Linked DNA regions of Xenopus tropicalis. The protein of the gene in region 1 interacts with the protein of each later gene in a pairwise test. Links are inferred from orthologs where the notes say so. Each region holds a gene or a part of one and is shown in the gene's direction. Other genes may lie near its edges.

Region 1 (4,304 bases):
AGTAAAACCAGCACCATATATTATTCATAACTGCCTACAAGATTAGATATCTATTCATCTATCCTATGTCTCATTTAAACACCCAAGCTGCCATTTCATTAACTATTTTGCTTTGCTGTTTGGCCTCTAGGGGGCGCTGCTTCATTACATGGAGCCATAGCTACACTTTGGCAGGATGGGTGCAAATCAACCAGCGGCCCTACGGCTACTGACCAAGAAAAATAATGTGAATGTCTAGCATATTTCCCCTTTATATAAACAACTCAATGTAAAAGTGCGCAGCCCGCTCTTCTTTGTACATTGCATTAAGCTTTTCATATAGATGGGGTAATGGCAGATTCTGTTAGTGCCTATAAGAGGGGCCTGGATGAGTTCTTGATCAATCAGAATATCCAAGGCTATTGTGATACTAATATCTACAGTTAGTATTAATGTTTGTATATATATAGTTTATGTATGTGAGTGTATAGATTGGTTAGTATAGGGTGTGGGTGCTGGGTTTACTCGGATGGGTTGAACTTGATGGACAATGGTCTTTTTTCAACCCTATGTAACTATGTAACTATATATATTACATTGTGGGGTTTTTTTTTGCACTAATATCTATAAATAAAGCAAGTTGCTTGCACCTTCAGCCCTGCGCTTATATGAGGCTTTAAAACAAAAAGTGCAGCCAGCTTCTGCCGAAACCCGGGATCGAACCAGGGACCTTTAGATCTTCAGTCTAACGCTCTCCCAACTGAGCTATTTCGGCTGCCGTGTCGGTACCGGGCACCGGTGTCTGTTATGACGTAACTAAATGTATCCGGTAACGCTATTCTGATTGGTAGAGAATATGTAAGCGGTTTGTGTGGGAGTCGGTGTTAGTGAGCGCAGCGCCGCGGCGGAAGGATACGGAAAGCCTGTGTGTGAGAAATCCAATAGGGAGCCTAATGTAACAGGGCTGCACCGTCTCTGTGGCGCAATCGGTTAGCGCGTTCGGCTGTTAACCGAAAGGTTGGTGGTTCGAGCCCACCCAGGGACGCGGTGTTTTTCAGTCACATACGGATCTTTATCTCAGTCATTCTGAATATCCATTTTTTTGACGATCATGTGACTGTTTTACTGGTAACCTTTGCGCTCCCTATACTGGTTTACAACACTTATTGTTGGGCGGATGAAACAATTCTGTTGAATTCATTCATTGTAAAGAATTTCAGCACATTCGGATATTTTCGGGAATTATTTACTAAAACCCGGTGTGTAAGGCAGCGGAATGGACTCGGGGTGGCGCTCTCTGCACGCTAACAAGCCGGTGTGTGCTATGGCGGTGCATGGATATCGCTGCTTCCCTCAGACAACAGTGTGTATGTATTCAGTGTCAGACGAACAATAAAGTTTGGTGAAAAAAAGAAGCGCCGGTCGCGCTTGTAGGTCACATGACCTGAGCAGGGGCGGGGCTGCTCCTGGGCTTTCCCCGCACAGTGCGCGGCCCCGACTGGAGATCACGTGACCGGCCTTGGCACGAGTACGCGCTTTAGTTGCGATTGGCCCGGTCCGGTGAGACAGTTCCGCTGCTGAGACTTGGAAGCAATAGGAACGCAATGTACCGAGCCCTGTACGCTTTCCGCTCCCCGGAGCCCAACTCGCTGCTGTTCGGAGCCGGAGAGAGCTTCCTGATCCTGGAGAGGTCCAATCAGCACTGGTGGCTGGCGAGTCGCTGCAGCAGCGGGGAGACGGGGTATGTGCCGGCTTCTTATTTGGAGAGGATCCAGGTAAGGCAGTGAATGCAGAACTACATCTCCCAGCATCCAACACTAGGGCCTGTACCCCAGAACCCCAACACTAGAGCCTGTACCCCAAAACCCTAACACTAGAGCCTGTACCCCAGAACCCCAACACTAGAGCCTGTACCCCGGAACCCCAACACTAGAGCCTGTACCCCAGAACCCCAACACTAGAGCCTGTACCCCAGAACCCCAACACTAGCGCCTGTACCCCAGAACCCCAACACTAGAGCCTGTACCCCAGAACCCCAACACTAGAGCCTGTACCCCGGAACCCCAACACTAGAGCCTGTACCCCGGAACCCCAACACTAGCGCCTGTACCCCAGAACCCCAACACTAGAGCCTGTAACCCAGAACCCCAACTCTAGAGCCTGTACCCCAGAACCCCAACACTAGAGCCTGTACCCCGGAACCCCAACACTAGAGCCTGTACCCCGGAACCCCAACACTAGCGCCTGTACCCCAGAACCCCAACACTAGAGCCTGTACCCCAGAACCCCAACACTAGAGCCTGTACCCCGGAACCCCAACACTAGCGCCTGTACCCCAGAACCCCAACACTAGAGCCTGTACCCCAGAACCCCAACACTAGAGCCTGTACCCCGGAACCCCAACACTAGCGCCTGTACCCCAGAACCCCAACACTAGAGCCTGTAACCCAGAACCCCAACTCTAGAGCCTGACCCCAACACTAGAGCCTGTAACCCAGAACCCCAACATGTCCCGCCCACTGTGTCCGCAGCCTATTGGTTTAGAGCAGCCCCACACTGCTGCAGAACATCTTGGGGAGCAGAGCTGTCAGCCTGTATCTGTTAGTGCCTGTATATAGCGCTGTGTAACCATCATGCCAGTCTCACTCCCTGCCAGGGCTCTGCTCCTCTATGGCAGCTTCAAACCTCTGCAGAGCAGCTTGGGGCCTGGCAGTGCCTGTGCGGGTCGGTGCCTGTGCGGGTCGGTGCCTGTGGGGGTCGGTGCCTGTGGGGGTCGGGTCGGTGCCTGTGGGGTCGGGTCGGTGCCTGTGGGGTCGGGTCGGTGCCTGTGGGGTCGGGTCGGTGCCTGTGGGGTCGGGTCGGTGCCTGTGGGGTCGGGTCGGTGCCTGTGGGGTCGGGTCGGTGCCTGTGCGGGTCGGTGCCTGTGGGGTCGGGTCGGTGCCTGTGGGGTCGGGTCGGTGCCTGTGGGGTCGGGTCGGTGCCTGTGCGGGTCGGTGCCTGTGCGGGTCGGTGCCTGTGGGGTCGGGTCGGTGCCGGGTCGGTGCCTGTGGGGTCGGGTCGGTGCCTGTGGGGTCGGGTCGGTGCCTGTGGGGTCGGGTCGGTGCCTGTGCGGGTCGGTGCCTGTGCGGGTCGGTGCCTGTATGGGTCGGTGCCTGTTTGGCTCAGTGCCATGGCTGAGAGTTGCAGAGCTGTCAGGGATTAAAGCCCCACTGTTTTCCATGGGGTAAGCTGCACTCCGCTCCCTTAGGGAGTGTAAATGGTCAGAGGGCACATTGCAGCCTTTAGTAACAAAAAATACCCTGTAATTATGCCCAAAGCTGTAGCCTTGGCATAAAGGCACTGGCAGCCTTAGGGTTTAACCAGATAGGAAAGCAAACAAATAGAGCTTTCATTATTGCCCCCCAGTTATCACTCACTGTGTTGCCCCCGTCATATGCTACCCAATGGTACATTCCCATTATGTTTACTCACTGGTCACACACAATACCAGAATCAATACATGGAATGCCCAACTGCCCCCTCCAACTGTCAGTTTAGACATAAATAATGTACCAAATTCACCAGATAATTAATATATATATGTCTATGCTGTGAGGGCTATTAGCCTGCATTGGGTACTTACTGGGCCATGAAGAGGATGAATGGCTGAGCCCAGGGCTGTTGGTGTGAGTAGGATAATACAGAGAGAAGTAGTGGGGAAAGTAAATGCACAGTCTGGCCGCTCCTATTAGCAGCCCCCAATCTGATGCGCTGTCACTGTCACTCCTCAAGGGACATTATTGGCACAATGGAGTCTTGCGTGAAAGTAGAGAAAGCCATATAAAATCTGTGCTTGGGTGAAGTGTTCCCTGTGCAACACTGATTCCTTCCTTCCTCACAAAGTAGTCTTTCCACAGTGTATAAGGATATCTTCAACTGGATCTTTATGACTCTTGTGTGTTATATAGTGAATAATGTCCCCCCCATTATAGTATAAGGATATTAGAAGTCAGTGAGGGATTCTGTAACCATATAATGGCTGCTGCTGGTACCATAGTTTGAGAAGCACAGGCTTAGTAAGTATTGGGCATATATATGGGCAGGCTGGTAGGTGAGCGTGGCGGTGCTACAGCACGGTGGTATCTTGTGGCTTCACAGCAATTGGTTCCCAATTAGGAGTAGTTGGTCTCATACTGAATTGGTCTTCAGTTTTTATTTATTAATTGTTTTTGACTTCCTCTTCTGATCATTTCCAGCTTTCAAATGGGGGTCACTGACCCCCAGCAGCCAAAAACCTATTGCTCTGTGAGGCTGCAATGTTATTGTTACTTTATATTACTTATCTT
Region 2 (3,568 bases), on another chromosome or scaffold:
GAACATAAGTGAAGCGCCGGGTGCACATCAATTCTCATATTCACCTTCAGAAAGCGGCACTCACGGCATAAAGTCCAACCATAGATACTTTATTAGACCTTCATATCTACGCGTTTCGATCCGCTGGGGATCCCCAGTATCTATGGTTGGACTTTATGCCGTGAGTGCCGTTTTCTGAAGGTGTATATATATATACCGTATATACTCGAGTATAAGCCGATCTGAATATAAGCTGAGGTACCTAATTTTACCTAAGAAAACTGGAAAAATGTATTGACTCGAGTATAAGCCCCTCAATGGTGCAGCATGAAAAGCATCCATATACCGGTATACAAAATCTTTAATCCCATAACTAAATATGGCATTTCTGTATTCTTTAAATACAGTAAATTACTGTTCTGGATGTCACTTCAATGAATAGAAGGAGTAGAAGGATTTAATTGGCCTGCACAGAGCGCTGACTTCAAGCTAAACTTGATGAATTGGTACACCAATGCGAGTAAGGCCTGATCACCCAATAGCAGTGCCTCTTATGAATGAATGGAAGCAAATTAATCAAAAAATTTCCAACATCTAGTGAAAAGCAGCAGAGGGTAAAAGGCTGTTTTAGCAACAGAGAAAGAGACAACTTCACATTAATAACCCTGATTCTTTAAAAAACATTTTGGACAGGCAGATATCCACATACTGTGTCATATACTATAGTATATTAATTACAATAATAATTGAAAGTCTATTTAAAGCCTTATTAGCTTTGTGTACATGTAAAATAAATACTTGCAAATCCAACAAAAACACGTTTTACATACAGTATTTCCACACAGCAATTTCAATAAGCAGCACACAAATGTTATCCTAACTATCCAGTGTGGAGTAATGGAAAAAGGCTCCGGTTAGAGGGAGGTGCCACGGTGCTGCTCTTGTGTCACTTACTGTGCTCTGCTAGGCTGTTCTGCTGCCGTTGTCCTGCGAACGGTGCTACAGGTGTCCTTGGGGAGGTCCAGGGAGGGGGGGCTCAGGATGTGCTCCTCATGGCCGCGCCGCTCAATGTGCAGCCGCGCGATGCACATAATGTAGCGAGCACGCCGCGTCCACATTCTGCTTAAGGCCGGCCACGGGGGAAGTCCAGGGAGGGGGGGCTCAGGGTTGCTCCTCCTGTGCTCCACTGTGCCCCTATGTCCCTGCGCATAATGTCACGCGCACGCCGCTACATGCTGCTGAAGGCCGGCCGTATTGCATGTAGTTTGAGTGCAATTACCGTATATACCCGAGTATAAGCCGATATTTACTTTTTAAGCACATTTTTAGGGATGAAAAACTCGGCTTATACTCGAGTATATACGGTATATATATATATAATATGCAGCAGAAGCCGGCACTCATGTGTAAAGCTGATAAATGTGCCTGGGTGCAGTCCCAACAAAATGTTTGCAGATGCTTGGAAAAAGGTACCGCTCACACAGGTCTTAGGATCAGGTTTAAAGTTTTTATTGTAGAGGCAAGGGAACTGACGTTTCGGCTGCAACACCAGCCTTTGTCAAAGTTACAGCAAAAAAATCCAGTAGCACACTGAAGATGCAAGCCGTGAAAAAATTGTATTTTATTTGCCCAAGTACATATAAACAAGCAAAGAGCAAAGAGCAACTTTGTAACTTTGACAAAGGCTGGTGTTGCAGCCGAAACATCAGTTCCCTTGCCTCTACAATAAAAACTTTAAACCTGATCCTAAGACCTGTGTGAGCAGTACCTTTTTCCAAGCATCTGTATATATATATATATATATATAGTAAAATTACCTTTAAGTACAACTGTTAAGTTAATCGCCTTAATTGTTCATTGTGGATGAATAGAAACTGTCATTGATTATAATTTATGATGTTTATATATTTATGTCACAAACATGTTCTTGTGAAGCTGGTCTATCGCTCAAAATGATAGAAGCAATAGAAGTAAGCAGGGAAGCATATAAAGACATTTCCTGTTTCAGTAAATTAAGGTTAATTTTCCATTCTATTTGGCCCTTACACAGCCATAATTAATGCATAAGTGAAGTTATTTTTGTTCCAATGGTTTCAGTTACAAACCTGACGAAGGTTCCTGTGGGAAACAGTAACGCTGGAGCAAAGAATCCTCACTTTTAGGCATTAGTCATAATTCCTGAGTGCCGTCAATTTGGTCAGTTCTAAACAGGCACCCAAGTGACACTGTGTTTTTGCTTTGTGACCCAAACTGGATATTAGATAGATTGATAGATAGAAGATAGATAAATTATTGATAGATAGATAGATAGTTAACAGATATTGAAATTTAATCACAAATGAATCAAATGTATTGTGCATAAACATAAACACAGTTTCAGACAGTACTTGTGTTTCCTTACAGCTGCAGAAGCTTAAGAAATCCCTTTCATTCAAGACCAAGAGTATCCGAAGTAAAAGCGCAGAAAACTTTTTTCAAAGGACTAACAGTGACATGAAACTCCAAGTTGACCTGGAGCCAGAAATAAACCCAATTGGTAGCAACCAGATTCTACCATCTGAGAGCCCATCCTCTACTCCAACCAAAGCTACTGTGCAGCCAGCATCCAATAGCAAGTCCCATGCTTTTCAAGAACATATATTCAAAAAGCCCACATTCTGTGATGTATGCAACCACATGATTGTAGGTAAGGTTTATATACTAGGGGGACATTTCTAGATTAAGAGCATTGTTATCACAGTGATACAGGTAATTACCAAGTGTTGGATTTAATTATTTTGTCATGAAAGAATCTTAAATGTTGAAGGAACACTGGGTTTGGTTCATGTGTTTATTAGGTCTGTATTTAGGAAATGTCATACATTTCTATATCAAGAATCCAGTGCTTATTGTCTGAGGATTTTTATTAATCATGGGACCCTGGTCATTTGCTTGTTCCTTGTATGTTCATGTACTTCAGATTAAGGTTTGTCTTTTGTAACTACATCATTCTAAATTTCACTGAGAATAGACCTATCATAGTTTTTATTCATGTTTTTGTATGAAGATTTAGCAACAGTATTTCTGGACTGGATAATTGGATCTAAGCTACTAGATGTGTTGATTTTGATGCTGTATGTCTTAATACTAGCCCTAAGGTTTCTTAAACCTCAAGAGAACGTAAGACACACATGACTGGCTCTCATTTGGATTTCTCACAGTGCCAGAGGATTATATTGCATTCAGATCGTGCTAATTATGTGTACAATATAGTAGAAAATCATCATTTCTTTGCAGTATGTCCTGTCTTCTGTTTTCTTTTCTTCTTTTAACCAGTGTATGCCTACTGTGATCTGGGGCAGATAGCAGTCTAAACAAAATAATTGATTTGCGTTCCAGTAGACAAATATAAGGGGTCATTTACTACTTGAAGGGTAGGGAGCAAAGTAAAAAAAACATGGCAGATTTGCCCATGGCCCCTTATATCTCCAGGTGGCAGAATTGCCTCAGGTCAATCTCTTGGTAGCAATGACAATCTCTTGGTAGCAATGTATTCATAAAGGGAGAGCAGGGGGAGGTGCGTTTCTGTTCCCTTAGTACTCATCTATGG
Region 3 (3,568 bases), on another chromosome or scaffold:
GGGTTGCTGTGCTATCCACATAAGAGGAGGAGGCATATCGATTTAAGTGTATGACATAATATAATTCTTTCATATATAAATTAAGGGTGATATCCCTTCAGTGAGCACCAACCATTGGGTTTTTGCTGTGTTGCCACCATTAATGTGGGGATGGTCTTAAAAGCTCTTGTGATAGCATGGGTGCAGTTTGAAGTGGGTGTGGTTTAAAAAAGGGGAGTGGTCAAAACTGGCTTCCATTATCAGCCCTCCACCATGTAGGCAAGAAAAATTCCAGCCCTTGGTACCACAGAAGTTGGACAGCACTGACTTAGATAATCAGAAGTTGCGCAAAGTTTCCTCCTGCTGGCAACTTCGCAGGAGTTCGGATAAAGAAGCGATGCAAAAGGGCTTTCGACCAGGACTGCTGTTGTTGCTGGTGGAAAGCCTTTTTTCAGGGACAGTTTGTCGCCTGCGATAGCAGAAATCTATCACAGGCGACTCCACCGCCGCTCCGTTGGTTCTTGCCCTTAGTTTCACTGGAGCAGGCACTAGAGTGAATAACTAACAATGTAATGTTTTGCATAACATGTTAGTGCTGTGTAAATAAAAGGAAAAGAAAAATATAGGGGAAAGCAGTAAGATATTTCATAGCTTCTGCTGCAGGTATTGGATCCGTTATCTGGAAACCCATTATCCAGAAAGCGCTGAATTAATGGTAGGCCATCTCCATAGCCATAGACCTAATTTTAAGCAAATAATTCAGTTTGTTAAAAATGGTTCTCTTTTTCTCTGTTATAATAAAACAGTACTTTGTACTTGATCCCAACTAAGAAAAACTTTATCCTTATTGGAGGCAAAACCATCCTATGGGGTTTATTTAATGGTTTAATGTATTTTGTGATGCAAATTAAAAAAAGATCCCTTAACCAGAAAGACCTAGGTCCTAAACATTCTAGATAACAGGTCCTGTACCAGAATAAAAATGCTTAAAAATATATGTAATTAAGGTTATATTTAAAGGGTTTGTGTATAAAGAAGCTTTAGAATACATTAAGCATCTCCACTCTAGTGCTATGGTACACCATGTCAATATCTGCATAATTGCAAAGTTGTACTTTGAATGTGGGTATACAGGTATGGGATCCCTTATCCAGAAACCCGATATCCAGAAAGCTCCGAATTACGGAAAGCCTGTCTCCCATAGACCCCATTTTAATCAAATAATTCAGATTTTTAAAATTGATTTTCCTTTTTCTCTGTAAAAATAAAACTGTGCTTTGTATTTGATCCCAACTAAGATATAATTAATCCTTACTGGATGTAAAATAATCATATTGGGTTTAATTAATGTTTTATTGATTTCTTAGTAGGCTTAAGGTATAGAGATCCAAATTACGGAATGACCCCTTATCCGGAATACCCTTGGTCCCGAGCATTCTGGATAACAGGTCCTATACCTGTTTATTGTAGCAGGTTTTAAATGTAAAATATGTTTAAGTATTTGTGTACAGAACTATGTCCATGCTGGTTTTATGGTCCTCTACATTTCATACCCCTTATCTGTGGACAGTCATTATGCACAATGTTATAAATATACCCCCTTAGTGTATTTAAATGCATATTTCTTAATGATTCTAAAGCTATAAGGAGTTTATAATAAGATAGGAACACATAATGAATTCTATGAAAGATGGTCTTCCTGTAATTTAGAGATTTCTGGATGACTGCTTTTCAGATAATGGATCCCATACCTGTACAACAGATTTGCCAAAAGCTACAAATGTTAAAATCATTTTTTTTTTACCAAAAGACAAAGCTGTGTACTTTTTGCTGATCATATTTTATTTAGCAGAGCCTAATTTAGAGTAGATTCAATATGGCTTAACTAACACATCATTATAGCAGTCTAGACACACTCTCTTTTAATAATGCACAGTCTGAAATGACCTTAATTCTAACTTAGTGTTTGAAAAAACCTTTAGATCAAAAGCTTATGCAATGTCTAGGGTACTTTGACACCGGTTTATTGCTGTTCAGCAAATCTCAACAAGGTGAGGTTTGGATGGATCATAAATACTGTACATACTTTGAAAAAAAGGTTAATTATGATTATAATGGTAGTTAACTATTGAGCCTAACTATTATTAGAGACAAGTTTTCTTTTACAAAGGAACGCCTCTGTGCACTGGGGGTACCAAATGTTAGGTACCCTCCCAGTGATTGTAATCACTTACCCGATACCCTGGGTCATTGCTCCTGTTAGCAGAAAACTGCACCAGCTTGGGGTACTTCTCAACAAGCACCACAGAGCGTTCCTCTTCTTCCACTGCTTCTTTATTCATTCCCCCGGGGCTGACCATGCATAGTAGAGTTGTACTTCTTACACTACTGCACATGTGCACTTGCACCAAGAAAGAATAAGCAGGAAAAGAATTGCTCCATAAAGCTCAATGAAGAGTAAGGGGGCACTAGCCTGAGGTATCAGGTAAGTCATTACCTGATACCCGCTTCCCCAGTGAGTGAAACTTTCCTTCTCCTTTAATGACATATTATAGGTTTTATCTAAATATTTATAGTATTTAGGCGTATTTAGTCATAGACCTGCATGGTGGCTTAGATCTTGGAACTCCTGCCTTGCTGCTTTGAGGTCCTAAGTTTGATTTACACTTGGGAACTTACTACTAAAACTGATCCAACTGAACATCGGGGGCTGTCAATGATGAATAATCTCTGTAAAGTACTTATAAGTTGTGGCTGCATATAAATAAAGGATAATAATAGGTTTGCCGTGAATGCAAATTCTTACAGTACTCAGTATGAGACATGTACATTTAAACGGGAAGTGTAGAACTTTGAATAAAATGTTTACTTACCCTTTAACAATATTTTTAAAAGAAATTTGGCATCACTAACATTACCATTCATTAAACCGTTTTTAATACTTATTACAATGTACTTTGTACATTGTACAAAGTCTTTTATTAAGTATTGGTTGTAGTTATATAGCACTTTAATACTGTAATAAAATGTTTATTGTCTTTATTGGCAGATTGACTCCATGAAAGATGACAGAGGAAGTCATTGTTATTGCCAAGTGGGATTATACGGCACAACAGGACCAAGAACTTGATATTAGAAAAAATGAACGCCTGTGGCTACTTGATGACTCCAAAACCTGGTGGAGGGTAAGAAACACTGCCAACAAAACTGGATACGTGCCATCAAACTACGTGGAGAGGAAGAACAGCTTAAAAAAAGGATCTCTTGTTAAAAATTTAAAGGACACTCTGGGTAGGTTTCTACATTTTAATGTAAATTTTAACACAGCAGTATTTAAAGGGAGATGTCTACCCAAAACCTTTTGCATAATGAAAAATATAATTGTAAGCAACTTTCACATGAGTTAAACATTTTTAATGGTTTTAAAGTAATTTTAAGTGTAATTGCAAATATGTTTCTGGTTCTGAAGCAATATCCAGCTGATGAACAGATTTGCAGGAGGAATGACTGAAAGAGATAAGGAAATACTACTTTTGATAGCAATTACATTTACAAATAAAACCATAGGAATTTTTTTATTAATGTATGT

The links.
Region 2: the proteins of nckipsd (region 1) and stac interact in binary tests that used the Homo sapiens proteins (3 or more experiments, as listed by UniProt). The link is inferred for Xenopus tropicalis from reciprocal best matches to the Homo sapiens genes NCKIPSD and STAC.
Region 3: the proteins of nckipsd (region 1) and nck2 interact in binary tests that used the Homo sapiens proteins (3 or more experiments, as listed by UniProt). The two-hybrid records come from large-scale screens. The link is inferred for Xenopus tropicalis from reciprocal best matches to the Homo sapiens genes NCKIPSD and NCK2.

Annotation. Positions count from the first base shown.
Region 1 is NC_030680.2:136,184,294-136,188,597, reverse strand, and holds the start of nckipsd (NCK-interacting protein with SH3 domain), read left to right. Parts: upstream 1-1,494; 5' UTR 1,495-1,583; coding exon 1,584-1,754; intron 1,755-4,304. UniProt on the Homo sapiens protein: Has an important role in stress fiber formation induced by active diaphanous protein homolog 1 (DRF1). Induces microspike formation, in vivo. In vitro, stimulates N-WASP-induced ARP2/3 complex activation in the absence of CDC42.
Region 2 is NC_030682.2:60,578,231-60,581,798, forward strand, and holds part of stac (SH3 and cysteine-rich domain-containing protein), read left to right. Parts: intron 1-2,382; coding exon 2,383-2,665; intron 2,666-3,568. UniProt on the Homo sapiens protein: Promotes expression of the ion channel CACNA1H at the cell membrane, and thereby contributes to the regulation of channel activity.
Region 3 is NC_030678.2:110,097,498-110,101,065, reverse strand, and holds part of nck2 (cytoplasmic protein NCK2), read left to right. Parts: intron 1-3,028; 5' UTR 3,029-3,044; coding exon 3,045-3,270; intron 3,271-3,568. UniProt on the Homo sapiens protein: Adapter protein which associates with tyrosine-phosphorylated growth factor receptors or their cellular substrates. Maintains low levels of EIF2S1 phosphorylation by promoting its dephosphorylation by PP1.